4 linked regions of the Alligator mississippiensis genome follow. The protein of the gene in region 2 interacts with the protein of the main gene of each other region in a biochemical or structural test. Links are inferred from orthologs where the notes say so. Each region holds a gene or a part of one and is shown on either strand. Other genes may lie near its edges.

Region 1 (7,791 bases), on a different chromosome or scaffold from region 2:
ATACAAACTAACCCCAGCAAATGTTGGACAAATTGCTATTTTTACCATGCTGGCTCCTTAGTTTGATCCTACAACTCCAGGATTTGCCATCTACAATCTGGCAGTTAATCATTTGCATTACACATCAAATAAAGCTTTCCAGGGGCCAGCTAATGTGTTGGGATGTTTCAACTGATACAGGGGCAGAATGGCCAAATGCACACGGATGCTAGACCCTCATTAAGACCAGGGACAGAAATTACACAGAAACCAGTATAAGCAATCAGAAACTCTCTCAAATCTGTAGCATAAACACAACTTCAGTGCACATAAACCAGTTTCAAAATGGCTGAAACCAGCTTAAGATAAACCTGGATGGATGTAATATCAGTTAACTGATTTAGATTAAATCAGTTTATTGAACATCTGTCCAGATCCCCTCCAGATTCAAGTTAACTCTCAGTTCCCCAGCACCCCAGGATGCTTTGCACCTCCTCCACAAACCCTCTGCCCCCCATAGGGAGGGCAGGCCTGCCTTGGCCCAAGCTATATGTTCCTGCTGACCAGGGAGGTGTGCTCTAGCACCCCTTGGCTTCTGGCCTAGGCTACTGCAGGCATGCGGCTGCATTTTCAAAATCAAAATGAATACCCATTCAGTTGCTTATTGATTTAATCTACACAACTTTGGCTAACCTGCAAAGATTGAATGGATTCGGCCTCAGGCTCTTGACTATCTGTACTTAGCCTAAAAGTTGGTCCTTTCATACCCCCAAGCACAGTCATTCCAAGAGTCTGCTGCTCAGCATTGTAAACATTAATATTACTCAGATTTGTTCACAGCTTTCCATTTACTTACTATGCACAGTAGGTTTGCAAGAAGATCACCTTTAGGGGCTAGGAGAGAGTAGAGTACCTGCATTACTGGTGACCCAGAGCTGATGTTCAATCCTTTCACAATATTTTCAGCAATTATTTTTGACACATAATTTCTCTGCCTGAGGCTGAGGTCCCAACCCTGAAAATCTATGAATGTGCAGCAATATTGCAGAAGAGACAATCCTTTACTCTAGCTAAGGGAGTCACTGAAGAATTGCTTCTAGGAACCTCCCTCACAGAGACAACTATACCACCACCGAGAAAAAGCTTCTGGAAAGACACCAAGAAGCTCTATGGTGATAACGAGCACCAAAGAACAGTGAAGGGACACCTGGGAGAATACCAACCTGCCGCAAAAATACGTAGTCAGTGACCCTGCAATTCTCCAGCCAGGATTTGACCTATCGAGAAAGATTTGGTCCTCCCTGAATCACATCCAGACACTTAATGGAAAATGTGGACACCTACCCCATAAATAGAGAATCAAAGAATCTGGGTTGCAATTGTGGTGCGATTTTTCAGATGGTGTAACACATTGTAAACGACTGTCAAATTAAATATTTAATGGCAATCTAAAAAAAAAATAAAAAAAAAAATCAATCCATGCAGCTACCCCTAAAGCAGTCTAATGGTTATCAAATTTAGATATTAATCCATGAACATTGTAATCCTGAAATGTCATACAAAAGAAGATCACCCAAGTTACATCATGGCATTCAGGAATAGCAACTAATGACCTGACTTGAATCCCCACCATCATAACAGGGAAGAGCCCTGTACCAAATCTGGCGTGTGGGGCTGGTCTACAGGCCCAAACCAGACCAGCCTGAGATCCAGCACTCAAGGGCAATCTTGTGCAGTACGTGCCCCAGACCAACCCCACAAAGCATGTGGAGCACAGGACCAGTCCAGGGCACATGATGTATGTGGCACTTATGCCAGCCCAGACCTGCATGCTACAGCTGGTCTGTGGCTCAATCCAGACCAGCCCTGGATCCAGTGTGCATGGCCAGCCCAGCACACGTGGTGCACACAGCACATGCCCCAGACTGGTCCCACCCACTGTGTGTAGCACACATGCTGGCTCCAGCCCTAGCACTGTGTGCAGGCCATGCCCGATGGGCTCCACATGCACCATGAGGGTCTGTGGCCAGCACATGCTGTATACAACATGCCAGCCTGCAAACCTCCAAACACATGCTCTAGGGGCAAGATACTGCAAGGGGCTCTGCAAGGGCCTGCCTAACATCTTCCAGGGTTAGGTAACACCCACCACCATTTAAGTATTTACTTCCTGACCTCTCACGCACTTGGTCTGGAGACAGTGGATTGGGAGCACATTTGAGCGCATTCAAACGAACGCACCGCTTGTAGACAAGGATGGAACAATTACGCTCGCTGCTCAAAACCGATGCAGCGCACCGGTCCGGGGATGCCCATGGCCACTAGGAACAGCTCTGGACCCAGCAGCTCCGAACTCATAGGCCCGCAGGGCTGGGAGGGACCTGGTGAACTCACCTAGCCCAACCCCCTGCTTGAGGCGGGATCATCATTACCCAAACCACCTCGGCCAAGCGTGCGCTGGAGCAGTGCTTCTCAACCGGGGAGCGACCGCGCAGGCTCTGAGGGCGCTTCAGTGCAGGCGCCCTGCCCGGGGCACAGGTCAAGTGGGCGCAGGCTGCAGGGAGAGCCCTCAAGTGGGCAGGAGGCCGCCCCCAGCCAGAGGCGCCGGGACAGCTCCGCCTGCCCCGCTCGCCTGCGTGCCCGCAGCAAGGGCAGAGCGGGAAGGGCCGGGCCGGGGCCAGGGGCACTCCCCTCCGAGGCGGCCCACCCCGCGCACCCCTGGCCGGGCGGGACAGGACGGGCCCACTACCTCGCAGCTGAACTCCATCTCGGCGTCCATGGTGACGATGCGCACCGTGAAGGTCTTGGGCTGTTTCCTCTTCAGCGAGCTGAAGCTCATGCGGGACGCGATGGCCCCGGCCATGGCGGGCTCCGCCGCACCCGGCTCGGGGAGGGCGGGGCGGATCAGCCCCGGGCGCGGGGCCTCAGGGGGCCGGGCCGCGAGGGCGACATGGTGGAAAGGGGGGGGAGGGGCAACACCGGGCCAGGGCGGGCTGGGACCGCCGCTCCCTGCCCCGCCAACCTCCCGTCGCCGCTGCTGGTGCAACTTAACTCCACTACTCCCCGCCATTGGCCCAGCGGCTCGGGAGGGCGGGGCGCCCCTTTCGCCCGCCTCCTGGAGATGCGCTCAGCTAATCGCAAATTCAGTACGCTCCCACCCCCCTAACCCCCCGGCGCTGGGCGCGCTCCGAGTAGCCGAGCCCGGCTGCCACTCCTGCACTCCGGCCCCGCCTCCTCAGCAAGGGCGGTTGAGAGGCCGCCGAGCAACACCGGTCCCTGATTGGGCGAGGGCGGCCCGCGCTCCGGCTCCCCCTGGCGGGGACTCCCGCCTCGCGGCCTGTGGGAGCGCCGTGGGGCCCCGGGTGGAGGCTGGCGCTGTGCAGGAGCACTGGACCCGCCGGAGGGCTTGTTTGTGCACCGCCCCGGGAAGAGGGAAAGGACCTGGTCTGCCCGGGGGCCCCGCTCGGCCTGGCCTAGCCTAGCAAGGGGGCGACCCTGGAGTGGGCTGTCGTCCACAGCGCTGAAAGGCAACGGGCGAGGTCCCATTGTCCTGGCGCAGGCAGGCAGCAGAGCAGATCCAGGCTGGGGATGACTGTCCCAGCTGCAGAGAAAGACCTGGCCGTTGCAGTGGACCCTACACTGAATAGGAGCCAACAGCTTGCCCCTGTTGCCAAAAAACCCCCAAACAAAACAAAGGCAGCAGCATCCTGGGCTATATTAACAGGAGCATCCCTTGCAAATCAAGGGAAGTGATTCTTCCGCTGTATTCAGCCCTGGCGAGGCCTCACCTGGAGTGCCCTGTCCAGGTTTGGGCCCCACACTCCATGCAGGATGTGGACAGGTTGGAAGGAGTTCAGCACAGGGCAGCAGAAATGATCAGGGACCTGAAAGTAAAGGCTGGAAGAGCTAGAGTTATTTAGCTTGGAGAAGAGGATACCAAGGGGTGCTTTGATAACCATCTTCAGTTACTTGCAGGGTGATTGTAGAGAAGATGGAGATAGGCCTGTGGTCATAGGGGATAGGACTAGCGGTGGTCTCAAACTGCAGCAGGGGAAATTTAGGTTGAAGAGCGGTCGGGCATTGGAACAGACTACCTAGAGACATTGTGGACTTGATCCTTGGAAACTTTCAAAAGCAGGTTAGACGCACAGGGATGATCCTGCCTTGAGCAGGGGGCTGGACTAGATGATCTTACAAGGTCCTTTACAGCCTTAATTTGCTGTGATCCTATGAAATGCCTTAGAGTTGAGTGTCAGGCCTACCTTGGCTTGGTCACTTAGGGCAGTGGTTCTCAACCTTTTTTTTCCCCACCAGGACCCATCTATAAACATCAATAATCAGTCTCAGCCCAGTACTATTTGCTAATGACAAATAGTAACTTTGAAGTGGGAATCAAAGTTATCAGAGCCTGTTGTATGGAGGAACAGGAGGCAAATGGAGACACAGCTAATGAGCCAGGTAGACTAAGTCAGTCTCTTATGCATGTATATAGTTGTTATAAGTCAACTAAATAAGCTAATGTAACTGTAAGTGTCCTCTATTCCACTAGGTACAAGCCCTACAAATACCAGATCTGCCCTAGCAGCTGGAAGTTCCAACTCATTTATTACTTGAATTGTAACCCTTGGAGTTTGTTCTGATCCAGGACCCCACAGTGCTAAGCACTCTGCAGATTCTGAACAAAAAGATACTCTTTGCCCCCAAGAGCTAACAGTTGAATGAATCTCCCCATGATACAGGCGGTTTGATTAAATCTCAGTACATGGGGGTAGTGTAGGAATAGGCAGGATATGAAACTAAGATCACTGGGTGCATTCTTCTGAGTGCAAGGAAATTCCATCACATCACTGGCTGGCCTAAGGCTACCGAGTCTATTGCCTGTGACAGAAAACTCTATTAAAACCCAGCAACCATAAAGCTCCAAATGCATCTGCTTCTTTAGGCCTCTAACTTGTTCCACATCCTCTGAATTGTCAGACAGACTAATTTAGAAACTCAAGGAAAGTCAAAGCCATGAAAAGCTTTTATGACTCACCTTTCCTTGCTGGTCCTCTGAGTGCAGAACGTGCAGAATGAGGCTTGAGCTTCCATTTGTAATTTTGAAACCATGCCTATGGTAACAGATTGAGCTGTTCCTGTGTCACTTAATGGGGGCCATGGTTACAGGTGACTTGTGGGCTCAGGGAGGAACTCTTTAATGAAGAGTGCAAGCAGCAATGCTTCATCCTGGTTTCCTGCCAAGTACTTTTGCTTTAAAACCTACATGAGGTTGTGTACTAGGAAGCACACAGAACACAGTATATTAAGTATTATTGTAAAGCATAACCCCTCAGTGCCAAACAGAATTAATTTAAAGGTGACCTACTAGGAGAAAGAAAAAAGAAATGGGTTTGTGCCGTTACTTGCTTCTTTATGATAGATAAAAGCTTTTCAGCTTTATTTTCCTCTTACTTTTATGCCTTAGAAATAACAAGAGTATATAGAGTCTTTTCTTCCCTAACTTAGCTCCCAAAAAGATCTCCCCTCTTTACCCAGTTCTTAGGGTGGGAGTTGTTATTTAACAAGAGCTTTTCTCTCAACTGCTTTTATCAAACATTTGCGTTCTAAATACCATAAATTAAAATAGTTTCTTAACTCAGAGAAATGGAGGTTTTTCTTCCCAGCTGCTTGTGATTCCATGATTCTAACAGTTTTCCACATATCCATAGAGTCCTCTAGGGCAGAGCTGTTCAACTTCAGAGTAACTGGGGGCTGTTCAGGTCATGGGCCCCAGGCTGCATGGGCTCTCTGGGACCCCCACCGCATGTAACCCCATGGCCACATAAGTACCAAGGGCTTCCCACTGCCACAGCCACCACTGCACTGGTGATACCCCTGCCATGCCCCCCCTGCCCAAGCCCCAACTTCTGATGCTGTTGCACAGGCAGCAAACTGAATAGACTGTGTCTCCCTTCATGCTGCCCTGCTCCAGAAACCCCCCAGCCACAACCACCGCAGCCAGAGTAATGGAAGCAGTAGCAGATAGGTGGAAACGCAAGGGCCACTGAGTAACCCTTTTTGGGCTGGATGTGGTCTGCAGGATGCCATTTGGACAGCCCTGCTCTAGGGAAAGTAAAGGCTAGAAAGGATCTGAATTTATAAAGTAAAAACCAGCAGAAGAGCAAAATTGTCCTTTAGCTCTCTAAAAAATAAATAGAAAATATTTTTCTGGCTTTCTTTGTTCATCAAAAAGAAAAACAACTAAAGAGGTACTAGCCATTTTGGAAGGTCATTCATTTATTGCTAGCAAGATTTTAATGTTTTGTATTTATGTTGTGGTAGCAGCTAAAGAACCCAAGCAAATCTGACCTCCTGCATGCTAGGCATTGTACAGACTCCTAGTAAATGACCCTCCCTCTACCACAGTCCTTAAGAACAGCTTCTTAAAAGGTATTTAGGCCCCAACTCCTATTGAAATCATGGAAATTAACCACCTAAATACTTTTAAAATGTGCCCTTACACTCTTAAGGCCTTATTCCACCAAGAAAACTATCCAAGGAGGCCCAGCTCCAGTACAGACCACCGGCAATAATGATGGGGATTGCCGCAGTCATAGGGGTTCACATACACAGCTCTCCTTTGTAGGATGGGGGCACTAAAGAAAACCAATAGCAGCGATCACAAGAATACCAGGTCACCCAACAGAGAGTATATGTGATTCTATTTTCAAAGGGCTTTACAAGAAGCCTTTCTAATTCTCCAGTGAGTGAGTGATATTAGGAAAGAAATAATGGAAAAGGTGAGTTTTTACTGAAAGAGTACTGTTAATATGAAAGCCTCCCCTTTCCCTAGCCACTCACCACCAAAAAGAGCCTTGATTTTACAAACAGACCTTAGATTATTCAATTGGGAGGGGTTTTTTAGGTTAATTTATGCTTTCAATTTTGCATGCTTCTTTCAACTTGGATGATTAAATAAGCCAGTCACATTCACTTTCTGGATATAATTCTTATTAGCTGGTTAACTGTCAAGCAGGGATCGTCTGCTCAACACTGTGCCATAAATAGAAGTCTAGGGTGGAATCCTGGCACCATTAAAACAGATGAGAGCTTTGCAACCAGGATGTCACCCGCTGACCCTGCTCCAGAGAATTTACAATCAAAGGGCCCTAAGAGGTATGATCAAAGTGCAAACACTTGGGAACATGCTTAACTGGAAGCACATGCATAGTCCTGTTAACTTCAGGAGGACTGTTCACCTGGATAAAGACATGCAATATTCTGGCCCCCTCAAGCACCCAATCCTACAAACATTTAAGCTACTGTGGAACTTCACCCATGTGAATAGCATGTCTATCTAATTTAGGCATTGACCTGGCCTCCATTACTATAATATAAAAGCACTTCATAATCCTTAACACATTTATCCTAATAGACTAATAGATTGCTAGGGGCAGGAAGGGACCTTATAAATTATCAGGTCCAGTTCCCCCACACTAAGCAAGAAAAGACAGCTAGGGTCAAGTGACCCCAGCAAGGTGACTGTCCAGTCTCCTTTTGAAGATTTCCAGGGCAGGTGACTGTTGGGCAGTCATCGTGTAAGGGCATACGCCCCAACATCCCGCTGACATTCACTGGCCCCTCAGGGTGGCTGTGCTCCTATGGCTGAGCTGGATGAGATCAGATGACACTTCTTTTCCCTCCTGCCACGACTTTGATGATATAAGAGATCTATAAAAGGGAGGTGGTAACTGCCTGTCTCCTGCCCAGCTCAATCACAAGGGGCTGCCCCGCACCCCAGGGCCCAAATCTGAGAGTGAAGGAAGGACCAGC
Region 2 (7,945 bases):
TTTTTAAGGAGGCGTATTAGCTGATACCGATCCGATTTCCGATATGCAGCTTGAAGAGCGGTGTCTGACTGGTAAGTCTGTCGTGGTGGAAGGAAAGAGGGAAGGGAAAGGGTGTCAGGAAAGGGGGGGCAGATCAAGGCTTCTGCAGTGAGGGAAGGAGTGGGGCTGGGGCAGGCGCTGCCCAGCAAGGGTGGAGCAGGGTGTGGGACAGAGCCAGGCTTGTCCAGGGGGCACAGGGAGGGGGAGGGGCAGCTCCTGCCACTGCACACACCCCAGGAGGGCATGGAGGGGTGTGCCCCCCGGATCTGCGTGGGGCAGGCTGCTACTGCGGGCTGGGGCCGGGGCTGCACCGGGCTGTGCTCTGGGCAGGTAGAAGAGATGCTGGAAAGGGGAATTGTGGGGGGGGCTGCAGTCACCCCAAAATTCACCATAGTCCCCAACCTCCCCTCCCAGAGCTGCTGCCTGCCTCGAGTGCAGTCCCACTCAACACCCCGCTGGGAAGAGCCCAGCGCAGTCCCAGGCTGCAGCGGCAGCCCACCCTAGAAGTAAATTAATGTTTATTATTAGTTATGGCCAAAATGAGAGAAGGTTCCCTTTTGCACAAGCTGAACAAAAATGGATGACTGTTACCCTCATCTATGCAAATCTAGGAATGGTTCCCAGTGACGCAGGGCATCTGAGATGACTACAGTCTGACTTATCTAACCTGTGAGAGAATGCATATGACAGTGTTGTCAAGAACTGGAGATAAACAATTAGCCCTTTCTTTTTTATTAATTTTATAAATTTGTTTCTATACCACCTTATTCTATACTATATCATCACCTACACTCACCAGTCAGAAACGCTGTAAGTACAATAAATAATGGATGGCATATTAATCTTGTACCCCTGCATATGTTATTCTATTAATATGGGGGACAGCTAGTAAGAACATGCATAAAAATGGTGAAAATTCAATAAACTATTAATTTTAAACATGCATCCCTTCCTTATGTACTAGCACAATAAAACCCGTCTTAAAGAAGCCATGCAAATGAATCTGCCAACAGAAGGCGGAGTGAAGCTGTATTTGGGACAGCCTTTTAGGGCTGGGTGCTCTTTTTTTAACATCTTTGTATCTTTCTAATGCACCCCTCCCTTTTGCCTTCCAAGATGGTACAAAACTAAAAGATGCACCTGATCTTCCTTTCTTCCTTAGGCTGAGATCTTACTTTTCTCTTAGTCTCTATACATATTCTGCACAGCCAGGTTGTGCTCATAGAAAAGCAAAGCAGGAGGGGAAACACCATTATTTCTCCACAACTCTTGAGTTGAAACTATAGCCTAATGGACGGTGCAGATCTAACGGGTATCACCCCACCCTCATGTGAGGCAGTGTGTGGCAGGGTAGACGCAGACAACGTGAGCTTTATCCCTTCTGCCCCTGCCCGGCTTTGTGTGTTGGAGCATCTGTGAAACTATGACATGAAACACATCTCCTACATGCTTGACACAAAATCAGCCACCACTCCTGTACAGAACCAGTGATACCAATGCACTCAAAGCCCCTGTTCTCTTAACAGGTTGGGGGGGGGGGGGCAGGTCAGATTTGACCCAAAGCCCTCAAGCTGCAGGAGCTCACTTTCAAGAAAGCCTAAAATGGACCACCAGTCTGTTTCAAAATCTTACTTCAGGTTTTAAAAATGTAACAGTGGCCCACCAGTTTTGTGTGGTTAGTGATGCTTCTTGCTAGTGCAGAAGATGCTCCGCTTTGAACACCACCACATAAAACCCAGACTGTCATTACTATACATGTGGCTGATCACAAGGTTTGGGAAGCTTGTCCTGATATTACAAAGGGAAGTTGACAGCAATATAAACTGTCTCTTTTTTTTTTTTTTCTTCCACACTGCAAACTTAACCTAGGCTTCCACATTGCAATTAGCAACTCCTAGTGCTCTCCAATGCATAGTGAAAAACAGATAGGATGTTAATTGTGTTCAGGTGTGGGACCAGGGTTACAAGTTCAGCTCTCTACCTTGCAACACAGCGGGGACCAACCCTGGAGGAAGCATTCGGAAACTGCGGGAAAGGGAGAGAATTGCTCGATTCTCTCTGAAATTCATCAGGATAGACAGGACGCTCTTTGCTTATACCTCTCTGACAAGAAATACGCCTCTTTACACTCAAGGGAGAAAAAATGGGGGGGCCACAGGGCGCCGTTACTCGAACCCCGCCAGCTGGCAGGTGCGCGCTGCCCCGTGATACCCCTACCAAAGTTTTGCTCCGTCTCTCGTGAGGCTCAAGCAAGCCCTAAATTATTTAAATTCGCAGTAAAAGCCAGAGGCCCGGGAGGGGGGGAGGGGGGGAGGGACAGCGAGCTTCCCAAACACGCTCCAACCTGGCGCGTCGCGACTGCTGCTGCCCACACGCGCGCGGGCATTTGGGCACAACAGCCGCGCGCCCAACCTACTCGAAGAAAAGCACAAGTTAGTGGCACAGAAATCTCGAAACCCCCCGCCCGCCCGCCCGCCCGCGGGGGCCGACAGCTCGCCCCCTCCCCGAGCCCCTGGGGAAACCAGAGCAAATTCGGAAAGGACGCCTGGCGCCCTGGGGGGCCGGGGGCAGCCGCAACAGGCCACCAAGTGGCACCGGCTCCACGTGGGGGCGAGGCAGGGGGTCTCTGGAGGGGGCGAGGCCGCCTGCCCTGGGAGCTGGGGGAGGCCGGGAGGCGCCTCCCGCCCCTCAGAGCCCGGCCCGGGCCGCAGGGGAGGGCGAGCCGGGCTCCCGCGGGAGGGCAGGACAGGGCAGGGCAGGGCCCAGGCGGGCGGGCGGCCCCGCACAGGCCCCGGCACTCACCCGGGCAGCGGCTCCTCGGCGCGGGCCTAGCTGGGCGGCTGCAGCCTCCTGCTCCGGCCGCAAACCATCCCCGGGCGGCGGCGGCGGCTGGCGCTGGGGCTCAGCCCATGGGGCCCGGGCGGGCGCTGCTGCTGCTGCCGCTGCCCGGCGGCTCCTTCCCCGCCTCCCTTCGCCCGCCCGCCCGCCCGCCCGCCTTCCCTCCCGGGCCGGGCCGGGCTCGGCGCCCCCTCGCGCAGCCCGTCTGCTCCCAGCGCTGCCGCCGGGTCCTACCGCCGCCCGCCTGTCCGCCCGCCCGCTCGCCCACCCTGCGCGGGGGCAGCCTGCGGGTCTGGAGGAGGCGAAGCAGCCCGGAGCCACCCCGGGCCCTGCCGCAGGGAGGCTGCAAAGCCTGCTCCTGGAGCCTGGAGGGGTGGGGGGAGCAGTGTTTCATCCCCAGGGTTTCACACTAGGCCTCTGCCCCCTTACATGTATTGCGTGTGTCCGGCTTTCGTTTGACCACGGTGGCCCCCCTGCTCGGTGGGGCGCGAGGAAGCCAGCCCCGCCGCGTGGGCAGGTGTTTGCGCGCGACTAGACCAGGCCGTGAGGTCGGCGCCGGTCGTGGGGCTCGAGGAGCGGTGTGGGACACACGCCGAGGTCGGGCCCACGCCACCTCCGTGCGCCGCATCGGCCTTGCGCCACCCCAGCCGGCCCTGCACGGTCCAAGTAGCCCGGGGGCTCCCCACTGGTTTGGAAATTTGTCATTAAGAGAGCAGCAATGACCGGCCGCTGCTTCCCTACTGCCCAATATTTGGACCCGTGGATTTGGCCCTCAGGCTGGGGCTTGAGCGCGCCGGGCTGCACCGTAAAGTTATCAGCAGTGGTTCTCAGCCCTTTGTTCGATTCAAGGCCCCACTCGGAAAATGACCTTGCGCTCATTTTATGACTACGGGAATAATAACAGAGCATTTTTTCTCTTGCGAAGACCTCGGAAAAGCCTCCGCAGGTCAGCGCGGTTTTAACGCTCTAGATTCCTATTTGAAATCTCTGACCGGGTCCAGACATGCAGGGACATGCGGGCTGCGGTGCCACAAACTGGATGAGGCAAACGTTAAAAAGTGCCCTGTGCTGCAGTGCAGGGTCAACATTTACTGCTGGGATTTCCCGGTAGCAGAAAAACCCCAAATGGAACAAAAAGCAGTGCAACACACATACGACAAGCACGCACAGAGGCCAGGCCACCTAGAGCAATACTCTGACTACCGCCTAGGCCTCGGTACTGCCCAACCTGTACCCCTGCTGCTCCAGGCCACCAGGTAAGACTAGTGCTGGCCCTACTGGTACTGAAGAGCCAGGGGGAGCTGGGCAAGGGTAGTCTGCTCATTGCAGGACAACTTATCCCACAACAAAGCGCACATGCAGGGGTGTACATTATGGCAATTTATGCCACTGCAAGTGCATGCCCCTGCATGTCTGGACTTGGCCTCTAGGCTTAACTTGTGAATCAAGTGTAGGCGTTTGCACGCTTAACAGTGCTAATATTACACCACATCACCCTTAAAAGAATCTCACAGCGCCCCAAGGTACTATAATGCTCTGATTGAGAGTCAGTGTTATAAGGCTTGCTATTGCCATCCTTTAGCAAACGTTTGCGACACAGTCATGCTTTGCATGCGTACAGCACCTTTCATGTACAATTCTCACCACATCTTATAAATATTGATTACTACCTTGGGCATGGCAGGACCAGTAAGAGTATTTTAATATCCCTTTTAAGAGTGGGTAAGACAAGGCCCAGGAAGATACTTGTCACAACTGTATAGAGAGCTTGTAGCAATGAAATGGTCAGAGCAAGGGAATACTGAAATCTGGACAAGGAACCAGATAAGACTGCTCCTAAATATAACAGTGACCTGAAGCATGAGAGTCTACAATTGCTGACCTGTAGTGTTTGGAGTCTACAGTACACCATTTTTTGTGAGTTTTTATGTGCAGGTCTGTTCTGGAAAAATTAAAATGCCACCAATACATTTATTGCTCTTCCAGGTTTCCCATGTCAAATTTACCCCATTTGCTAAGATGTTTATGTTTTAACTGTCTGTGCTGGAAACTCTGGATTATGGGAGTCACATCTAATTCAGAACCATACAGTTACTAGTAACAAAGTTTCTGTAACTGAAACCTAGTTAGCGAATATATTGATGATACAGAAGTCAGCAAATAATTCAGTTCACTTTTTCAGAGCTGAGTTGGTCCTCACATTTTAATCTTATGGGTGAGTTTATGTAGTTACACTATACCCATCACAGTGTATCTAAATTTATAAAAGATCATTGGATTTTATGTAGCTTGAGGCATCAAAAGAATCCCTAACAGAAAAGAGTTGGGAGTGGGGCATTCATTCACTCTTTTAAAAGGAAAAGGGAGTGTTTATTTCCCCTTTTCGATAAAAATGGCCAGCTGCAGTCAAGGTATCTCTATAATTATTTCCTCCAGGTGAAACAGCAATCCATCTATGAGATTGTATATGACTGATTTCAGCTGGATGGTCATGTTGTCACCATTGTCGTCAGCAGTCCTTCTATACAAGGATGACACTACGTTAGCATACATTTTAATATCTACTTCAATAGGGAGATAAGCAATTTATTTTATAAGCTAAACTGTGACACATGCCATGTCATCTCAGTTAATGCCAGATCCAATACCACAGATGTCAATGGAAACATTTCCACTTTCAGTAGGCACTGGAATAGATATTAACAGTGTTGCCATCTCTAGGCAAATACAAATACATTGGAAGAGACAAGCAAGTGGCAAATTCTAGTGATAATGAAAATTATTATTATTGCTATTACCATTATTTTTATTAGTATTTCTTTTTTCTCAGGCATGCAAATACATTCAAGTTTGTCACTAAGCATCACACACATGAATATTTAGCTGTAGATTAAAATGTTTTAAGTATCAAAGATAACTGTTTGACTTACCTTCCCCTGACTGGACTAGAAAGAAACTAAATATCAAAGTATAGAGTCTGCAGTATATTAACAGAAGTTAACAGATACATCCAGAAGAATATTAACCTAATAGTTTGATCTTTATTTTAGGGCCTGCACTCACACGTACCTCAGCCAATGCAAAAGCCTTGGTGACTCCTTTTGAGTTCTTAATAATGCAAAACTATATCTGCTAACAGATGCGGTTGCAGAATCAAAGCCTGTTTCCTGCCTTTTTTTGTGCTAAATCTTGTTCTAACTGGTCTGATCCCAGATCACCTGGCGAAAAAGAATCTGTAAAGTTTCCTCTGGAAATCTCATTTTGGTTGTTAACAAAGAAACACAATTTTTTTAAAAAACAACAGGCAATTTAGATTTACCAGTTGCTGATTTCAAAGGATAGTGGATGTGGACCCAAGCTACACAGTTCTGGACCTAAACTTCCCCCAAAGAACTTGGGAGCGTTCAGATCAGGGGTTGCAGCTCTGGCTCAGCTCTATGACTGCAGATTAAAAATAACTGGGTAGAATAGGAAGTGACTGCTTTGCAATAACAGAAGAGATTTGTATTGAGGCATGAAGAAAAACATGGCATTTTTCATTTAGAACAATTAAATCACGAGGGTATTGTTATAAATGCAAACATCATGGGTTTTATAATTCAATTATTGACAATGGCATTACAGTCTATAAACCCTAATTTTCAGGGAAGTCCCTAGATTTCCCTAAACACTTCCTCACATTTCGCATCTGTTTATTCTGATTTAGGAACTAGTAAGAAACAAGGTGTGCGAACTATTCCCTAGCATTATATTACAATACAACTACTTAATATGTGGGTTAATAGCAAAGAAGGGATGGATTTCTGGCTTATAAATCAATACAGCATTGTGAGATTGACCTGTCTAGCCTCATTCATTGTTGAAAATATATAGAGATATGATATAATTTGATGATAATTTTTAAATGGTTTCTTTAAAACTTTCTCAAAAACTATTGGAGACAATATTTAAGAGAAGAAAAGTCTGTCAGCAAAAAAGTGAAGAAGAGCTACATTGACCCCTAAAATAACAGGGGCTATTCCACTGCTGTCTAGAGCAGTGTATCTTTTATGTGCCTGTGGCGACTCTGTTCCTCTCTCTTTAAAAGATATTTTACACGAAACTCAAGCAACACAAGGGAAGAGATGAGAGGTGAAATTCCCTTGACTTTTACTATTAACTTTAGCAGAGGCAGAATTTCAGCTTAAATAGTTCCACCCTTTAAATAAAGATGAATCAGATTTAGACTAACATAGAAATCCAGATTGATATGAAAACAAAATTAAAAGCACATAACTTTAACCTACAAAAGCTGAAAAAGGGGCAGGCATCCTTCTACATATGAAGAAGTCCAGTGTTTAAAAGGAAATGGATATTTCTGGAGTAGCAAAACAATAACTGACAAAGGGGAAAGTTTAATCTAGTTGTTGAAAATGTATAGTGCAAACAATTAAATCTCTAGAGTGAATTTGATGCAAACAGTGCTCTTTAAACTAATGTTTTAAATTAAAGGTAGATCTGAACTACTTCATGTTTACAAACATATTTTGTTGGAAGCATTTCCCAATGGCTCATAGAAGCACTCAGCATAGCCAAATAGGAGACTGAGGTTTGCTTTTAGTCTCTATTTCCTGGTCCCCCAAGACGACAGCCTGGCAGCAGCGAGAAGGCAGTCAGCTTGCTTTTGCTGGAGAAAGGGGAGGAGAAAGGCAGGATTCGTAAGTGATCGGTGGTAGCTTCTCTGGCAGATTCATGAGTGGTATTGACAAATTCCAATGGGAAAACCCTCTGCTCCTCCTCAACTGAGAAGTTGGTGTCTATGACATTTGGAAACAAACGTGCAGTGGGGAATTCTGTGAACAAACAGTAACTGAATTGGTTAGATAAAACAGCAAACATACCACTTCTCTCCCCTATCCCGATCATTTGTAGCATTAGTAGTAATATAACAGCACCCAACATTCCCAATCAACACCAGGGCAACGTTTGGGACTGTACAAATATAAAGAAAAAGCAATCTTTAATTTTAATGTATTACAGTCTATTTTAAATAGCTGATTTTTTTCCTCTGTTAGTAATGCCATATCTG
Region 3 (7,955 bases), on a different chromosome or scaffold from region 2:
TGCCACTGTGGTGAAGGCGGCCCCAGTTCCAACCCGGGCCAGCCCCTCCACCTGGCAGGTGTTACACTGCCGGGGCTGTGGTCCTCCAGCGTTGTGGGACAGGCCTGGGCTGAAGCTGACTTGGGGGGAGCGGGGGCATGGGCTCTGTGCTGCCCTTGGCTGACCGCCCACCTCTCTGCCAGCCCCGATGTCCTGTCCCATCCTGTTTCAGCGGTACTGGTGCTGGTGCTGGTGGCTGTCCGCAGACGGCAGAGAGCAGAAATGGGAGTGGGGCTGCCCGTGGGGCCTCCTGGCAACAGACAGCCCCGGTAAGCTGCCACCACCTGCACCTGTATGGCCTGGCTGAGGGCAGGAGCATCGCGCTGCCTGCCCCGGATGCCTGCTGCCAGGATGCCTGCCTGGGCTGTGCTGCCCCTGGTGCCCAGGCCCCATGGGCTCTTGCATTAATTCGCCCCTGTGTGTGGCGCCTGGTTTGACTTGACTCGGAGCTATTCTTTTCAGTCATCCATTATCTATCAACTTCCAGCAACCCGCTACCAACCATTCACTGGTTTCATCACAAAGGAGCCCATTGCAGGATTTTCCAGTGGCTGCCTAGGTCTGGCATATTGTGGGATGGAGTCTAGAAGGGCCCGGATTGTGTCAATTCAGGGGCTTAAAATTCATAGCAGTCACTCTTCTGAATCAGGAATTCAAAGATGACACTGCTGGCTGTCACGTTTGATGATCTTCTGTCTAATCAGAGCTCCTGATGGCTGCAGCTCAGGTGCAGCATGTACTCAGGGGACGGCTCTCACGGTTACTCTGACAGATCAGTGCTCTTATATTGCTTTAAAGGAAAAGGAGCCCTCAGAAGGGAATTAATGGGCTCACTGCCAGCCAGCTCCTTGTTATCCACAGATACATTCCTGGTCACCAGGGGAGCATTTAATGAGAAAACAGGGCAACTGCTTTACAAAAATATATATATATATATATATATGTGCAGCCACTCACCTGCCTCTGGGCTTCCCAGTAAACCCTGAATGCAGAGTCAGCTTTTCACTGGTTGTAAATGGATATAGCACTATTGAAATCGATGTTGCTCTGCCTGTCTACCCTGGTTGGGGATCTGGCTCAAAAAGACTGTGGTTTGAAAGAGTCCCTGAACAAAGTAGGGGAGGGGACGATTCATAGGCAATCAGGCCAAGCTATAGGTCAAAGCTTTGTTGGTTTCTTTGGGTTGGGTTGAAACCTGGTTGAATGTGTTGGGGGTTCAGGTGATTCATCGATTCATAGATGCTGGGGTCGGAAGGACCCTCAACAGATCATCGAGTCTGATGATTGTACACTGAGTTTTCCATTAGACTTTGAGGAAGGGAGACTGAGTAGGACTGGTTGAGGACTGCGGGTGGGGGAGGTATTTCATTACCATTCCCTCCTTCACCCACATTTCTCTGATGAGATCCAGGACTGTGAATGTGCTGGTCAGCTCTTGCGCTGATATGGATCGGGTGAGGGAGAAAGGGTGGAAGGAATGTGATTTGTGTTCACATGATTCCCCCGAAGTGACAACTGCTGCATCTGGGGCAGCTCTGCCCAGCAGGCCCGTTGGTGCTGGATTGCTCATCACCTGGGATAAGCCCTGGGTTGTGGGTAAGACTTCCAGGGCCTTGGGAGACAGTGCAGGCAGGTGGCTGTGGCAGGGAGAATGGCTTCTGTCTTAGTCCTAGCTCTGCCACTGACCTACTGTGTCACCTTAGGCAAGTCCCTGTCCAGCTCTGGGCCTCAGTCTCCCTCCCCTGCCCTTTGGGGGCTCTCTGGGGGCAGGAGCTGCTGTTCACCTGTGCGAGTGTATCGTGCCCTGCACCATGGGTTTAAGCTGCTAGGGCTACTTTAAAAATAATGAAATGGATTGAATAATTGATCTGATCCCCACATCAACTCCTTCCTCCATTCCCAGGTCCAGGGACTTTGTAGAGCTGAGGCAGGTGGGGCTCTTCCTTCTCTACCATCTTTGGACTAAACCCCCTCAGGAGTTACACCAAGGAGGGACCTGAGCCAACAACTCCCCCATGCTGAAAGCAGAGGGAGCAACTCACCCTGGGCTGTTATCTAGTTCAGCAAGGCAGCGAGGTCAGGAGGAGAAGGGAAGAGGAGGCAGGGGTCTGGCTGAGAAAGGAGCCAGGGGAAATGGAGGCCTCAGCTGCCAGCTTTGCAGAGGGGCAGGCACTGGAGTGAGGCCACCCCAGCTTCCCTCTAGGTCTAGCATTGCAATGACACAAGACAGCCAGCACTGCCAACATGCACCCCCTGCCCTGCAACTGGGAGAAATCTAGAGGTTTGGGGCCGGTGATCAGATCTGGGGATAGGATCTGGGGGTCTCTAGAGCTGACAAGATCATTATGACTGTGCAAGCCAAAGGGCTGGCACTGCTAGGTGGGAGCTGCAACAGCCTCACAGATCTGGCCTGGGAGGGGACAGGTAGCTCATGCTGGCCACTGAGTTACACATGCAGCAGGCATAAGGTGAGGAATGGGTTCATAGAAAGGCTCCCATGGGAGGCCAATTGTGCTCCAGCCCAAGACAGGAGAAGCTAAAGGCAGCACTCACCAGTGATCTCTACAATGCCATCCTTGGTCTTCACCACCAGCTCCTCTGGGGCAAAATGGTTGACATCTAGGGTGACCTTCCAGCTCTCTGAGGTCTGCCGGATCTCCGAGATGCCACGGCTGAGCTGGCGGCTCAGGGCCTGACTGTAGTCAATGCTGGTGGCAGTGGGCGAGGTGATGATGGGGCTGGCAGCAGCGGCGACCATGGGTGCAGCAGCTTGGCTGGGCATGAAGCGGAAGTAGCCTGGCCAGCTGGTGCCACTGGGCCACTTGTACCAGTCCTCGGGGATGTGAGGCATCCCGAAGGACTGGTCAAAGAGGCGGCTGCCCTGGTACCAGTCCCGGAAGGGGTCCCAGCTGGGGCCGCGAAGGAAGGTGAAGGGCACTCGGCGCTCCGACATGTTGGGCTTCCTGCAGGTCCCACCTCAGCAGCCCGGCAAAGCGAGCTCTGTCTGTACGGAGCAGCTGCCTCCCGCCAGCCCCTTATGAAGAGGCAGCCAGTTATTTTTAGCCAAGAATTTCAGCTCACTATTAATGGAAATTACACCAGGACCGTGTAACTGCTGATGAACATCAGTCAGGCCTGGACTCTGCCAACTTACTCCCAGTCTGTTTGTCATCTTACAGCTGCCCTCTGTCCAAAGGAGAGGGTGGGGAGAGACGGACAGCTCCCCAGCCTGAGAGCAGCATTGATCACACCGCACAATGCAAGATGGGTCAGGAGCAGGGTGGGGCGATTCCTTCTGGAAGGGACGCTGGCACCCCCGTTGGTCTTGGCAGAGAATTTGCTGCTTCACTGTTGACAGAGCAAGCCAGGATGGATGTCTCTCCGCCTTCAGCTCTTTGTTCCTCTCAAATCTCAGGGACACCGAGTCTGATTTGGCAGCAGGAGGAATTGGATGTGTGCCATGAGCTTTCTCAGCCCTTCCTTCAGGGAAGAATGTTACATTTTTAACAAAGAAATCTTTTCTCCCCTGTGTTTCTCAGGGGTCTGAGTTAAATAAGGGGCTTAACAAAAGCAAAGCCCCCTAATTTTAGACTCTCAGAGCAGTAAAAACCCTTCCTAACCCTCTTAATTCAAATTCACAGATTCTGAGTTTTAAAACTAGAAGCAACTATCTAGTTGCCTAGTCTGACCCTTTGTCGAATATCGACCACTCCATTTCACCAAGTGCCCCTGCACTGAGCCGCGGGCATGTTACTTTGACGATATTTCTAATGCCAGAAGCCAGCCATGTTTCCAGGCATTTCTTGCGCGTTCCAAGAGAAACAGGCTCGAGAAGACAAATGGAAAAAGATCAAATGAGTCTGAGCTTTCTCTGTGCATCCTGCAGACACAAAGAAGGGCACAGACCTCTTTTTTTCATTTCAGATCACCTTCAAAGATTCCCACAAAATAAAGCCTTTTAAAATAGAGAAAGGTATTTTTAAAAGCATTCACTGTTGTCCTAACTTTGCTCCAACTGATAAGAAGTGTAAGGCTCCAGCTGGCTTCAGTAATAGCTGGGCCAGTGCCGTGAGCCCATAAGCCACCCTTGCCCATCAGTCTAATGAGAGGAGCGATTTTCTCTCCCAGAATCCTCCGGTGTCACGTGGCCCAGCTCATGTTGTCCCAAATCCCCACTTCTTAACTGTTCTCTCAGCATGTCTTACAGCATGCTTGGCCAAACTCTCCGGTGGTGTAAGCTGATGCCGTCCCATCGGAGCGGATGGAGCCGTGCCAGCTGAGGCCAGCGCAGGATTTGGCCGCGTGTCCCTGCCTGGAATCTTCTAGGTCCTGAGTCACACCGGGCTGCGGCGCTGCTCGTCTCCCAGCCTGCAGGCTCGAAAATCTTGGCAAGGTGGACGGAGATAAGCTTCGCTTGCCAGCCTGGCTGGCTGTCCTATCACATCCTCTCAGTTCGCTCAGGAACTGAATGGGAAGGGCTGTCTGTCACAGACGTGTTCAAATGACCTGCATTTCACACCGGGCTAAGCAGCGGGTTCCCACCGTTTCCTACCCACTGCCGGGCGGCCGACCCCTCTCGGAGGTGGTGCCTGGAGGGTTTTCCTGGCCGGATGAGTTGAGGTACGTGGTGGCCCTATGAATGAGTGATCAGGGAAGCCCCTGCAACCACCCCTCATGTGCACATCGTTCACATGTGCACATACCATCTTCTGTACCCGCTGCAGTCCAAGCCATCCCAGCCGAGGGAAGCTTTCCCTGCCTTTCAGTCTCAGTCCCCTATTAGTTACATGCCAACGCCGTTACTCTGTGTTATAAACAGCTCCTCTCTCCTGGGTCTCTACATCTTCCAGAATGACCCTTCCCAGCAGATGGTCTGTTCTCCTTTAGCTGTTCTCGGTTAGCCCTTGGCAAGCAGGCCGCAGTCCCTCCGGCCTCTTGGCCCTTTTCCTAATTCTTCTCTGAACCCCCTTCCAACTTTCCCTATCTATGTTCATTAGGAGAGCTCACAGGGCCGCTGCTCAGATACACTTACCATGTCTGGACCACAGAGACATGAAAGGCTTTGGCCTTGAGGACACTCTTACAGCTGTCTGCCCAGACCCCAGAGGCAGCTTGGACGAGGCTCATGTTTACCCTTGAGGAACACTAGGCAAGGTCGGTAGCTCTCTTTCTCCGGGATGAGCTTCTCCCAGCACCTCTAGCATGGCAGGCTAGACTATGCCTGATGGTGAAGGCACAGGCTTGGGAGTCTCCAGGCTCTGCCACAGCTGACTTTGGCCAAGTTACTTTATCTTGCTGTGCCAGCTCCTCAAGGGCAACAGGCCACTGGTCTCAGCTGGTGCCTCAAAACTGCTGCAGCATACATGCAATGCAAAGGCACAGCTTGTTGGCCAATGCTTAAATGAGCAGGACTCTCCAGGGGCTGCTTGACCTTTATCTGGCTTGAGCAGAGTCTGTGTTTTCACATTTTATATACAATCTGCAGAGGGATCAAGGGGAACAAGTGACACGTGTGTGTTTGTGTGTCATGGTGAGAGACAGTGGCAATGCATAGGGGGTGGACATGCACCCCTGAGAGCACCGGTGCACCCCCCTGCCCAGCCACGCTCGTTGCTTAGGCAATGGGCAGGGAGCAGGTGGGAGCACTGGTGCCCCCCTGCAGGCACCGGCTGATTGCTGCAGCTGCTCCCAGAAGTGGCTCCAGCCCCGGTTGGCTGGACTGGTCAAAGGGGGGGCATGTGCCCCCCTGACTAAGGTGGCACCAGGCACCCATGGTGAGAGAAGAGCTTTGTTGAGGTACAAAGCAGCAGGCCTGCCCGCAAGTGTCCTTGCTGCGCTCCCCCCTATCGTGTTGCAATTGGTCGGGTTGCATTTGAGCGGTGGTGGCTGTTTTCGTTCAGGCTGGAAAAAACCTCTCTTTGGCAGCTGCCTTGCTGACAGCGTGTGCCAGGGTAGGGGTCGCTGGGTTTGCAGATGGTGACGTCAGAAACTGCAGGTGCTCATAACCTAGCAAGCGGGCTGAGGTCAGGCAGTGCAGAGCGAAGGGGAGGAGGGTGAGCACGAGGGTTCAGTGGGTGGCTGAGGGAAGGGTGGGTGAGTCATGCGCACGTGGCTGGGCTGGGGGGTTGGACCGGCTGGTGGATAAGTGGCAGCAGAGGAGGGGGGGGAAGTGGGTAGATAAGGCCAGGGCAGCTTGGGCCGTGGGTGGCTGGATGACGTTCGACCTCCTGAAAGCCAGGAACAACAGTGAAGCACCATGTAGGTACTGGAGCAAGATGGGGTTACAGGACCCTTTCCTGGAGCTAAAGTGCACAGGGAAGGGTGGAGTCAGCCTTCAGGGGGGCTGTCAGGGCCCAGGGCTTGTTATACCCCACGATGGGCTGCCAGCCCTATTCCCCACCTTGCCAGTGCTTTTCTGCCAGTGTGGAGCTGTGCCCATGTGAGCTGCACACGGCCTTTTCCATCAACGGCATGATGTGCCAGCTGGTCCCCTTCTTCCCCAGTTTGTTGGTTTAGGCTCCACAGGCTGAGGTGCCCCTGCTATCCAGTGCCCCATCTGGCAGTGACTGTCCAGTGCACAGTTACTTGCCTTCACCCATCTTTGTGTCCTGGAGCTGATGCCCTTTCTCACATGGGAGACACTCGTTCAAAGTCAGAGCCCATCTGCTGCCCTGCAGCTGCTTGACATCCTGGGAGCTAGTGCTCAGCGCAGTGAAGGCAGGATGATTTATAACCCCAGGCCCCTGTGCAGTTTCCAGCCACTCCTTCCTCCTTCCAACTGCAGCTCTGTGCCCTCCCTGCCCATACTGCCCCAGCCCCTCCTTCCCTCTGCTTCCCACAGATTCAGCCCTGAAAGCTTCCTAGTCACCTGAGCCAGCAGCACAGGTTTGAGCTGGCCTGCCAGCCCAGCTGTGCTTGCAGTGGGCACCTGTGGCCTCTTTATGGGCACCCCGACAGACTCTTTCATGATGGGCTGGGGCAGCCACCTTGCGCTTTGTCTTAGGTCTCTGAGGAGCCCTTCAGCCGGGCTCTGCAGGGTGTGTTGAGCCACAGCTGCATTAGACTTGCTACCTTCCAGTCTATGGGCAGGGTGGGGACATTAATGGTCCCCAGGCTACAGGGGAGAGGCTGAGTGCCCCCATGGTCTGCTCTGTAGTCAGCTGCCATGTCCTCCCTGGCATCTGCGGAGGCCTCCTTTGGAGCAGCCCCTTTGGTGCCAGCTTACAGTCAGTCTGGGGGGCATGTCCAGTCCCAGGTGCAGACTGGGGCATGAAGCCTATGGGTGTGGACAGGCAGGGCCCTCCCCAACCCTGCTGCTGCCAGACAGGCTCCTGCAGTGTGTGTAGGGGCCTGATTCCCCACAATTTTTAGGCCAAGGCAAGGGGCCATTCTGGCTGGGCACCCCAGATGCAGACTGCTGCACTGGCTGGGGGCAGAGCCTGGAGAAGCCCACCAAGGGGGCTGTGGGTCCCGTGAGCTGACCCCTTCGGGGGGTGGCTGAGGCGGGCCAGCAGAGCGATGGAGGGGAACAGTTCTCTGGCTTCGCAGCTCCCCCACCATCCTCACCCTGCAAGAGCAGAGGCTGCCCACACAGCATCAGTGCGTGGAGCTAGCATCCTCCTGCCCACACAGTGGCTGCCCCTGCATGGGCCAGTCTGAGCCCAGCCACCTGCAGCCGTAGTTACAGACTCATTAGCAACCGCGGCATGCGGGCAGCTGTCTGCTCACAGCTAGCTCTGGGCTGCGGTAGTGGGGGCATGAGGGCAAGGCCAGAGCCTGTCTGGGATGTCCGGCAGCCCTGCAAGGTGACAGCGAGGGCACGGCTAGGTCCCTTGTTGCTGACTGGGCACTGCCAGGGCTGGAGGCGGGGCTGCGGGGGGGGAAGCTAATATTGCCTTTTGCCTCAATCACAGGAG
Region 4 (6,864 bases), on a different chromosome or scaffold from region 2:
CACTTTAACAGAAAAAAATTAGTTATGTAAACAAAACTGCAACAATTTACTCAAATAGAGCCCTGAGGATATGACCACAAAATAAAGGAGAATCTAATTACTCCATATTTAATCTCATTTGAATGCCAGTTTCTAAGTAACATGGTATTTTATCACACATCTTTTCCAAAAAAAAGGCATGTTGGATACAGCATCTCAGTACAGATCGCATAAAGATTTAGAACCTCAACTAGAATGGGCAGACAGCAATAGGACTAGACCTCCGACACACACAGACAGCCCCCCATACACGTGAAACAGAGTCATGCTCCCTTGCAATTAAAAATGGAGGATTCTTTACTAGTCTCAAATGCACGGCAGAAATCTAAGACACATCAAAAAGATGTTTACACGCAGATCATGAATAAAACAGGGTTGTTTTTGCTCCTAACATTTTGTTCGTAATTTGGTATCTCCACAGGCCACACTTGGCAAGCAGACGTGAGCTATTCCATTGAGAAGCCTACGGTATCTTTGTTGTGTCCCCTGAAGATAGTGAAACATTCTGCCACTAACAGTAAGACTAAGGTTGAAGTGTTAGACTAACTTGTTGTAAATAACTACCTTTAGTAACTTTTTTTGTCAAGTTTATTTAAGGAAGGAAACTTTTCCACCTAAAATGAGGAAACAAGAATTTTGAAGTCAATGCATACATTCATTCCTTTTCTGGCGAAAAGAGATGCAGATTTTTAGGACTTCTCCCAAATCCTACATTATTATCCTTTCCACTATATAGGGCTTTCAAAATTCACTTGCCCAAACCAAGATCTTCTCCAAATAAATCCTATTAAGACATAGGAGGAAAGAAAAACATGAAGCATGTTCATTATCAATCTTCCCAGCGGGAACAGAGTATAACCAAGCACTGCTGCCTTCAGCCTGCAGAACAATGGATGGAGGGCCTCCCCTGCGAGGAGAATGAGAACCGAGGAGCGCTGCTGGTTTCCACAGCTGCAATCCAGCATCCTGTGGGTGGCAGTGAATTAGCAAGAGCTGCATTAGTCAGTGAAGCTTGGGAAAAGCTTGACAGCAAGGGGGCAGGCACAAATGCTCTTAATTGGGAAAGAAAAAAAAAACTCATCCCTTTAAAGGCATTAGCTTGAGGGGCTGGGGTGGCTAGGAGGGAAAACACACCTCTCCTCCTACTCCAGATGATGCTCCTCTCAAGCGTACCTGAGCCTCCAGGTGGTAATTAGTGAGACATCAGGCAGAAGACAAGATAGAGATGTACCTAGAGACTAACTCACCAAGTGTCAAGAAATATTTCGAAACTCCACGTGCAACTTGAGGCAAGGGATGATGGAAAACCTGATGGGACATGTAGTTAACGCATGGAATTCATTGCCACAGCAGGTGGTAGAAGCGGACAACACAGCCAGGTTCAAAAAAGGGACTAGGCAAACTCATGGAAGACAGATCTATTAATAGTTGCTGAACCGAAGGGTTGACGATATTTCCCCCAGCATCTCCAACCCGATAACAGTGGATCCAGGGAGGGTAGTGAATAGGGGATACGTCACTCTAGAGATATCTGGTTCAACGCTTTCCCTCTGGCATCCATTTCTCCCATTGTTGGAGACAGGCCTCTCTGATGTGCCAGGGGGGATTGCAGCCCACAGCCCACCAAGGAAACTATATTATAACAACGGAGACCACTAAAGACATCAGAGGGTTTCTTCGGACAAATCGTAAGGAAACAGGAAAGGCAGCGAAGTTGCAGGTTAATCACAAGAGAGGCAGAAAGGGACACCAAGCAGAGCACACCACTGCCCCTGAATGAGCCTGCGGACTTTGACCAGCGAAACTGCCCAGAGACGTGAGCGGAGGAGTAAAAGGAAGACAGCCCCACGCTCACCCAGGCTCCCCTGGCCACAGCCTCCTCCCTGTCTAGCACATGGCGGGACCCAGATCAACCAAAAACTCCCAGGACTTGGTGAGGGACACAAGGAAGGAGCACATAAAAGAAAAGATGTGGGAAGAACAGCAACCAGAGGCTGTGAAACTCCCTGCCACCAGCTGTGGCGGAAACTGACCGCTTAGCCAGATACAGAAAGGGACTGGACACGTTCTCGGAGGAAAGGGACACCCGTCGCTATTGAGCGGCGGAGCGAGGGGCACGGCCTCCGAATCGAACATCCTACGCCTGTAAGTGCTGGAGGCCGCGAGCGGGAGAGCAACAGCGGAAACAACCCCCGGTCACTCTCCCTGCCCGCATCCGCTCCGCCGTGGCGCGACACCGGCCTTCGATATCCCAGTCTGGAACGTGGGCCAAAGTCCACCACGTCCAGCTATGAGCCCTGCCTGGCGAGGGGGCCCCCCGAGGGCACGTCGCCGATTGCTTGGCACAACTAAGAGACAAAAGTCAGGGGAAACACTGAGCAGAGCAAGTCACACGGCATCCACTCGCCCTCGGACACGTCCCCGCGGCACGCGCGGGCCGGGGGCAAGCCCGGCCCCATCGCCGCTGCACGACTCGAGGGGTCCAAGGGACAGGGCACCGCGGGACCTCACCCAGGAAGGAGGCTGCGTTTTCCTGTCCCTCGTGTGCTCGCATCTCTGGGCCGTTTCACCACCGGCTCCTCGGCCTCGCTCCCACCCCCGTCTTCCTCGCTATTGTCACCCTAATCCCGCGACGAGCACGCAGCGACCCCCCACATCACGGGAGGGCTTGCAGCTGTCCTCAGGCCGACCCCGCGCGCCCCTCAGCCCGCACCTTCTTGTAGTGCTTGCCGAGCCAGACGCGCGCCGAGTCCAGCTGCGACACGGTGTCGGGGCTCTCCCAGAACTTGCCCGTGGGGCCGCCGTCCTTGCGCCGCGCCACGGCCAGGGCCGCCCAGCCCGGCGCCGCTGCCGCCGCCCCGGCGCCCGCCGCCACCGCCGCCATTGCTGCCCCGGCCGAGCGCCGCCCGCGCGGGCCTGCGCCGCCCACTCGCCTCACGCCGCGCATGCGTGGAGCCGCGCACGCCACGCCCCGCCCCTCTGGGCATGCTCGGCCACCCGCGCCCGCTGCCGCCGCCGCAGCCGCCGCGCCGGTGCCTGCCTGCGTCACCGCCGCGCAGGCGCACGGCGCCCGACGCTTCTGCGCATGCCTGGCGGCAGAGCCGACCCGCTTTTTTTTTTTTTTTCCCTTGACGGGTTTATTTTACTATTTTTTTATTATTATTATTATTATTATTGGCTCTGCGCATGGGGAGTGTAGGCGCGAAGTCTAGTCGCGGAAGTGGGGGGTGCTGAGCATATGGGCGCGAAGCATAGTTGCGCATGCGTGGGAACGGGTAGGGGGAGCGTGTAAGTGGGCATGCGTGGAGTCCTGGGTAGTGTTGACTATGTGGGCGCGAAGCTTAGCTATAGCTACGCATGCGTGGAAACTGGGGTGAGGGGAGAGTAGGTGCGCATGCGTGGATAGCTGAGTAGGCGCGAAGCTTAGCTATAGCTGCGCATGCGTGGATGCCGGGTAGGGGATCATGTGGGCGAGCGTGCGTGGAAGCGGGGTGGTTGAATGGGCCCGAAGGCTAGTTATAGCTGTGCGTGCGTCGATGAGGGAGGGGAAGTGTGGGCGCCTGGGTGGCTTGAGTATGTGGGCGCAAAGCTTAGCCATAGCTGCGCATGCGTTGAAGCCCGGTAGCTAGGACATGCGTAGCAGCCTTAGTAAGTTGAGAGTGTCGGCGCGAAGCCTTGTCACAACTGCGCATGCGTGGAAGCCGGGTAGTGGGACCATGTGGGCGCGAGGCTCAGTCATAGCTGCGTATGCGTGGAAAGCGGCGTAGGGGAGCATATGGGTGCGCATGCGTGAATTCCTGGGTAGGCTGAATAAGCGCGGTTAGCCATAGCTGCGCATGCGCAGAAGCCGGGTTAGGGTTGCATGTCGGTGCGCGTGCGTGGAAGCCGCGGTAGGGGAGCACGTGGGTGAACTCATAGTTGCGCATGCGTGGGAGCCAGGGTTGGGGAACACGTGTGTTTGCTGTGATGCGGGTTAGGGGCGGCTCTTGCCCATTTTATTGGGGCAGGGCCTGCTCCGTGGGGGTCTAGGCTGGGGAGAAGGCATCGGCACATATGCAAAGCACCTATTTTTTGCAGTTAAAAAGAAACTAGAAGCTTTCCTGATAGGCGGGGAGGGGCTGGGTGAACCAGTATGGGATTGAAGCAAAACCAGCTCTCGCTTCATTGCACTGAGTTGTAGCCAGTCAGTCAGTCTGCAGGGCTGTGAAATGGGAGCGTCCCACCAGGAGGCAGAGCAGAGAGTAGCTTGCCTGGCGGCAGGTGAAGACCATTACAAGGAAGGGAGGGTCATTAACACCTGTGGAAAGAGGAGTTTAGAAGGGATCAGGTAGATCACAACGAGTCACAGTCAACTGACTCCTTCGGCACTGCCTGACTGGCCATACTGCTGTCACGCTGCCAGGCAGCTGGTTTTCAACTTTGGGAGGAGCAGGACTCCGAGCGGGGTGCAAGTGCACCAGTGCACCCACCCCTGGATCCACCCCTGGCCTGCTCCAGCTGCCGCCCCTCCAAGCACGAGTCAGCCAGGGCTGGATGCGAACGGAGGTGCCTGGGCTGTGCTGGCTACGGGGTCGGCGGGCAGCGTGGTCTCGCGTGTGCATCTGCTGTGATGGGCAGGGGGATCCAAAAGCCACAGTCTCTTCAAGCATCCCCTGCATTTGGCCCCAAGGGCACCTGAGTCATGAGCTCGGTGTCACGAGGATGAGGATACTGCAGGCAACGTTCAGCCTAGCAATTCACCACCAGGGTGCTATGGGGGTGCAACAGGATCCTTTCAGGGGTATACACAGCATAAGATACTGCTGAGGTGTGCAAATGTGGTTCACAAGAGAATCCCAGAGATTGCAAACAGAAACCCATGGTTGTGGTCTTGCTGAGTTCTTTGCAACAGAAGAATTGCTCTATTACTCTTCAGTAGCCAAATAAAAGGCATCATCTCTGAACCAAGAGCTCTAGATTTTTGCATTTCTTTGTCCCAGATCAACACGACTACCAAATACATCCCTAAAAGTCAGAGCTGGCACTTTCCAAGCAGTTCCCTGAGTCTACCCAGAGGATTTCCAGTCTAAGAAAGTTGAGGAGCACTGGTGCAGTCCCTCCCAGCTGCCCCAGGACCCCCCTCTCTGAGCAAAATACCCCTAAGGGCCGTTTCCAGCCACCTCCAAACTTCCTGCTCTTTGCTCGGTCACCCCAGCTCCCAGCCTTCATCCTGCCCTTGGCCGGCCACCCTGCAGAATGAAGACACCTGGTTGCATCTTTGTCTCTGGACCGGATCCCTGCTGGGAATCTCTCTCCCATCCTTCCATGTTTAAGCTGCCAGCCGTTTCATAGTAGGATTGGACCAGTTCCTGGAGGAAAGGCCCATCAGCAGGTGTTGTGGTCTGAGCCAGTTCTTAAGATCAAGGTTACTCCCTCCTCTGTCTCGGAGCTCTCCAAGGCGAGTGCTACATGAATTTGGATTCCACCCAGAGGCTCTTGCCTGTGGGTTTACAGTTTGTCTTCTCCTCAGTTTTTGCACATGAAATACAAAAAATACATCAAAAGCTTGCCGTCACAGCTAAGGTCAGGAGATGACAGAATTAAACAATGGAGCTTTAACGCTGTGTCCCTGCAAGGCTGTATGATGACACGCTGTTCTTTTCACGGTGCACAGCCCGGACGGTGCTTGCTGCATGTGCAGCTCTGCCATATTTTGTTCTCTCCTTGTTGCTTGGGGCGTGAGCCCCATGCCTTAGTTACACACCATAGTGAGCACTCCAGAGAAAGAAGCTGATCTGCTCTTGGGCTTTCATTGGAGGGCAAGTACAGGCAAAGGTCCATGGTTTGAATTCTCCCAACACTTCTGCAAGGGGAGGGAACAGCATCATCCCCTCTGTCTTGTTGAGGAGCTGAGGTGCAGACCTGAAGATCAAAACTTTCAACCTCTCTTGGATGCCTAAGCAGACACACCCAGGACCTGAGATTTTAGAGTGATCAGCCCCTTCCAGGGGTGTTCAGCTTCCAGCCCATTGGCCAGATCTTGCCTGCAAGGCCATGTCATCGAGCCCAAGAGTCTTCCCACAGATCCAGAGATTTGGTGATGGGGGAGCAGTCCCCCGCTGCCAAATTTCCAGACCCGTGGCATGGGGAGTCCTGCATCCAGGTGACATGGCTCTACAAGCTAGATAGTGCTAGTACATGGAGCCACACACGTACATGTAGTTCTCAGCTGCATCTGGGGGGTCAGGCCACACAGCGCTAATAAATGACACGGGTATTTGCTAACAGCAAAAGGATTGTGAAACTGAATCCAGACAAGACACGGGATGCTGGTGAGCAGGCCATGTGACCTAGGGGTACTGGGGTACCTGCCATGGATGGGGTTCAGCCTCCCCTTGTCACTCAAGTTTGCAGCCTTGAGGTGCTCCCGGATCTTGTGCTGCACCTGGATCTTCAGGTGGTGGGGGTCACTAGGAACAGCTGCAGCCCTTTCTTTCAGAGTCTGATCTGGCCACCACCATCCAGGCCTTTGCAGCTCAAGGCTAGACCACCACAATGTGCTCTACGCAGGGCTGCCCTTGAGAAGGGTCATCAGAAGCACATAACTCCAGTGCTCCAGGGTCTGCACTAGCTCCCAGGAGCTTTTTGCACGCAATTCAAGGGAAGTGTTGGAATTCACTTATAATGCCCTAAACATCCTGAGACCTATACCCCTAAGGTAGCACCTTCTCTATGCCTCACTGCAGTCCCAAAGGTCAAGAGCAACCTCCTGCGTGTACCAGCCATGCACCAAGTCCCTTGGGCAAAAACACATTGCTCTCAGCAGTTGCTCCTCAGCTCTGGCAG

The links.
Region 1: the proteins of AKT1 (region 2) and NF2 form a complex in vitro, tested with the Homo sapiens proteins (2 studies listed by BioGRID, with this or other methods). The link is inferred for Alligator mississippiensis from reciprocal best matches to the Homo sapiens genes AKT1 and NF2.
Region 3: the proteins of AKT1 (region 2) and HSPB1 form a complex in vitro, tested with the Homo sapiens proteins (3 studies listed by BioGRID, with this or other methods). The link is inferred for Alligator mississippiensis from reciprocal best matches to the Homo sapiens genes AKT1 and HSPB1.
Region 4: of the proteins of AKT1 (region 2) and SMARCC1, one has a biochemical effect on the other in vitro, tested with the Homo sapiens proteins (2 studies listed by BioGRID, with this or other methods). The link is inferred for Alligator mississippiensis from reciprocal best matches to the Homo sapiens genes AKT1 and SMARCC1.

What each region holds. Positions count from the first base shown.
Region 1 is NC_081833.1:26,673,857-26,681,647, reverse strand, and holds the start of NF2 (merlin), read right to left. Parts: upstream 3,007-7,791; 5' UTR 2,843-3,006; coding exon 2,729-2,842; intron 1,411-2,728; exon of another isoform or gene 1,324-1,410; intron 1-1,323. UniProt on the Homo sapiens protein: Probable regulator of the Hippo/SWH (Sav/Wts/Hpo) signaling pathway, a signaling pathway that plays a pivotal role in tumor suppression by restricting proliferation and promoting apoptosis.
Region 2 is NC_081825.1:289,116,306-289,124,250, forward strand, and holds the start of AKT1 (RAC-alpha serine/threonine-protein kinase), read right to left. Parts: upstream 3,013-7,945; 5' UTR 2,842-3,012; intron 1-2,841. UniProt on the Homo sapiens protein: AKT1 is one of 3 closely related serine/threonine-protein kinases (AKT1, AKT2 and AKT3) called the AKT kinase, and which regulate many processes including metabolism, proliferation, cell survival, growth and angiogenesis.
Region 3 is NC_081837.1:16,992,354-17,000,308, forward strand, and holds the start of HSPB1 (heat shock protein beta-1), read right to left. Parts: upstream 3,006-7,955; 5' UTR 2,993-3,005; coding exon 2,593-2,992; intron 1-2,592. UniProt on the Homo sapiens protein: Small heat shock protein which functions as a molecular chaperone probably maintaining denatured proteins in a folding-competent state. Plays a role in stress resistance and actin organization.
Region 4 is NC_081828.1:217,674,095-217,680,958, forward strand, and holds the start of SMARCC1 (SWI/SNF complex subunit SMARCC1), read right to left. Parts: upstream 3,002-6,864; 5' UTR 2,987-3,001; coding exon 2,753-2,986; intron 1-2,752. UniProt on the Homo sapiens protein: Involved in transcriptional activation and repression of select genes by chromatin remodeling (alteration of DNA-nucleosome topology).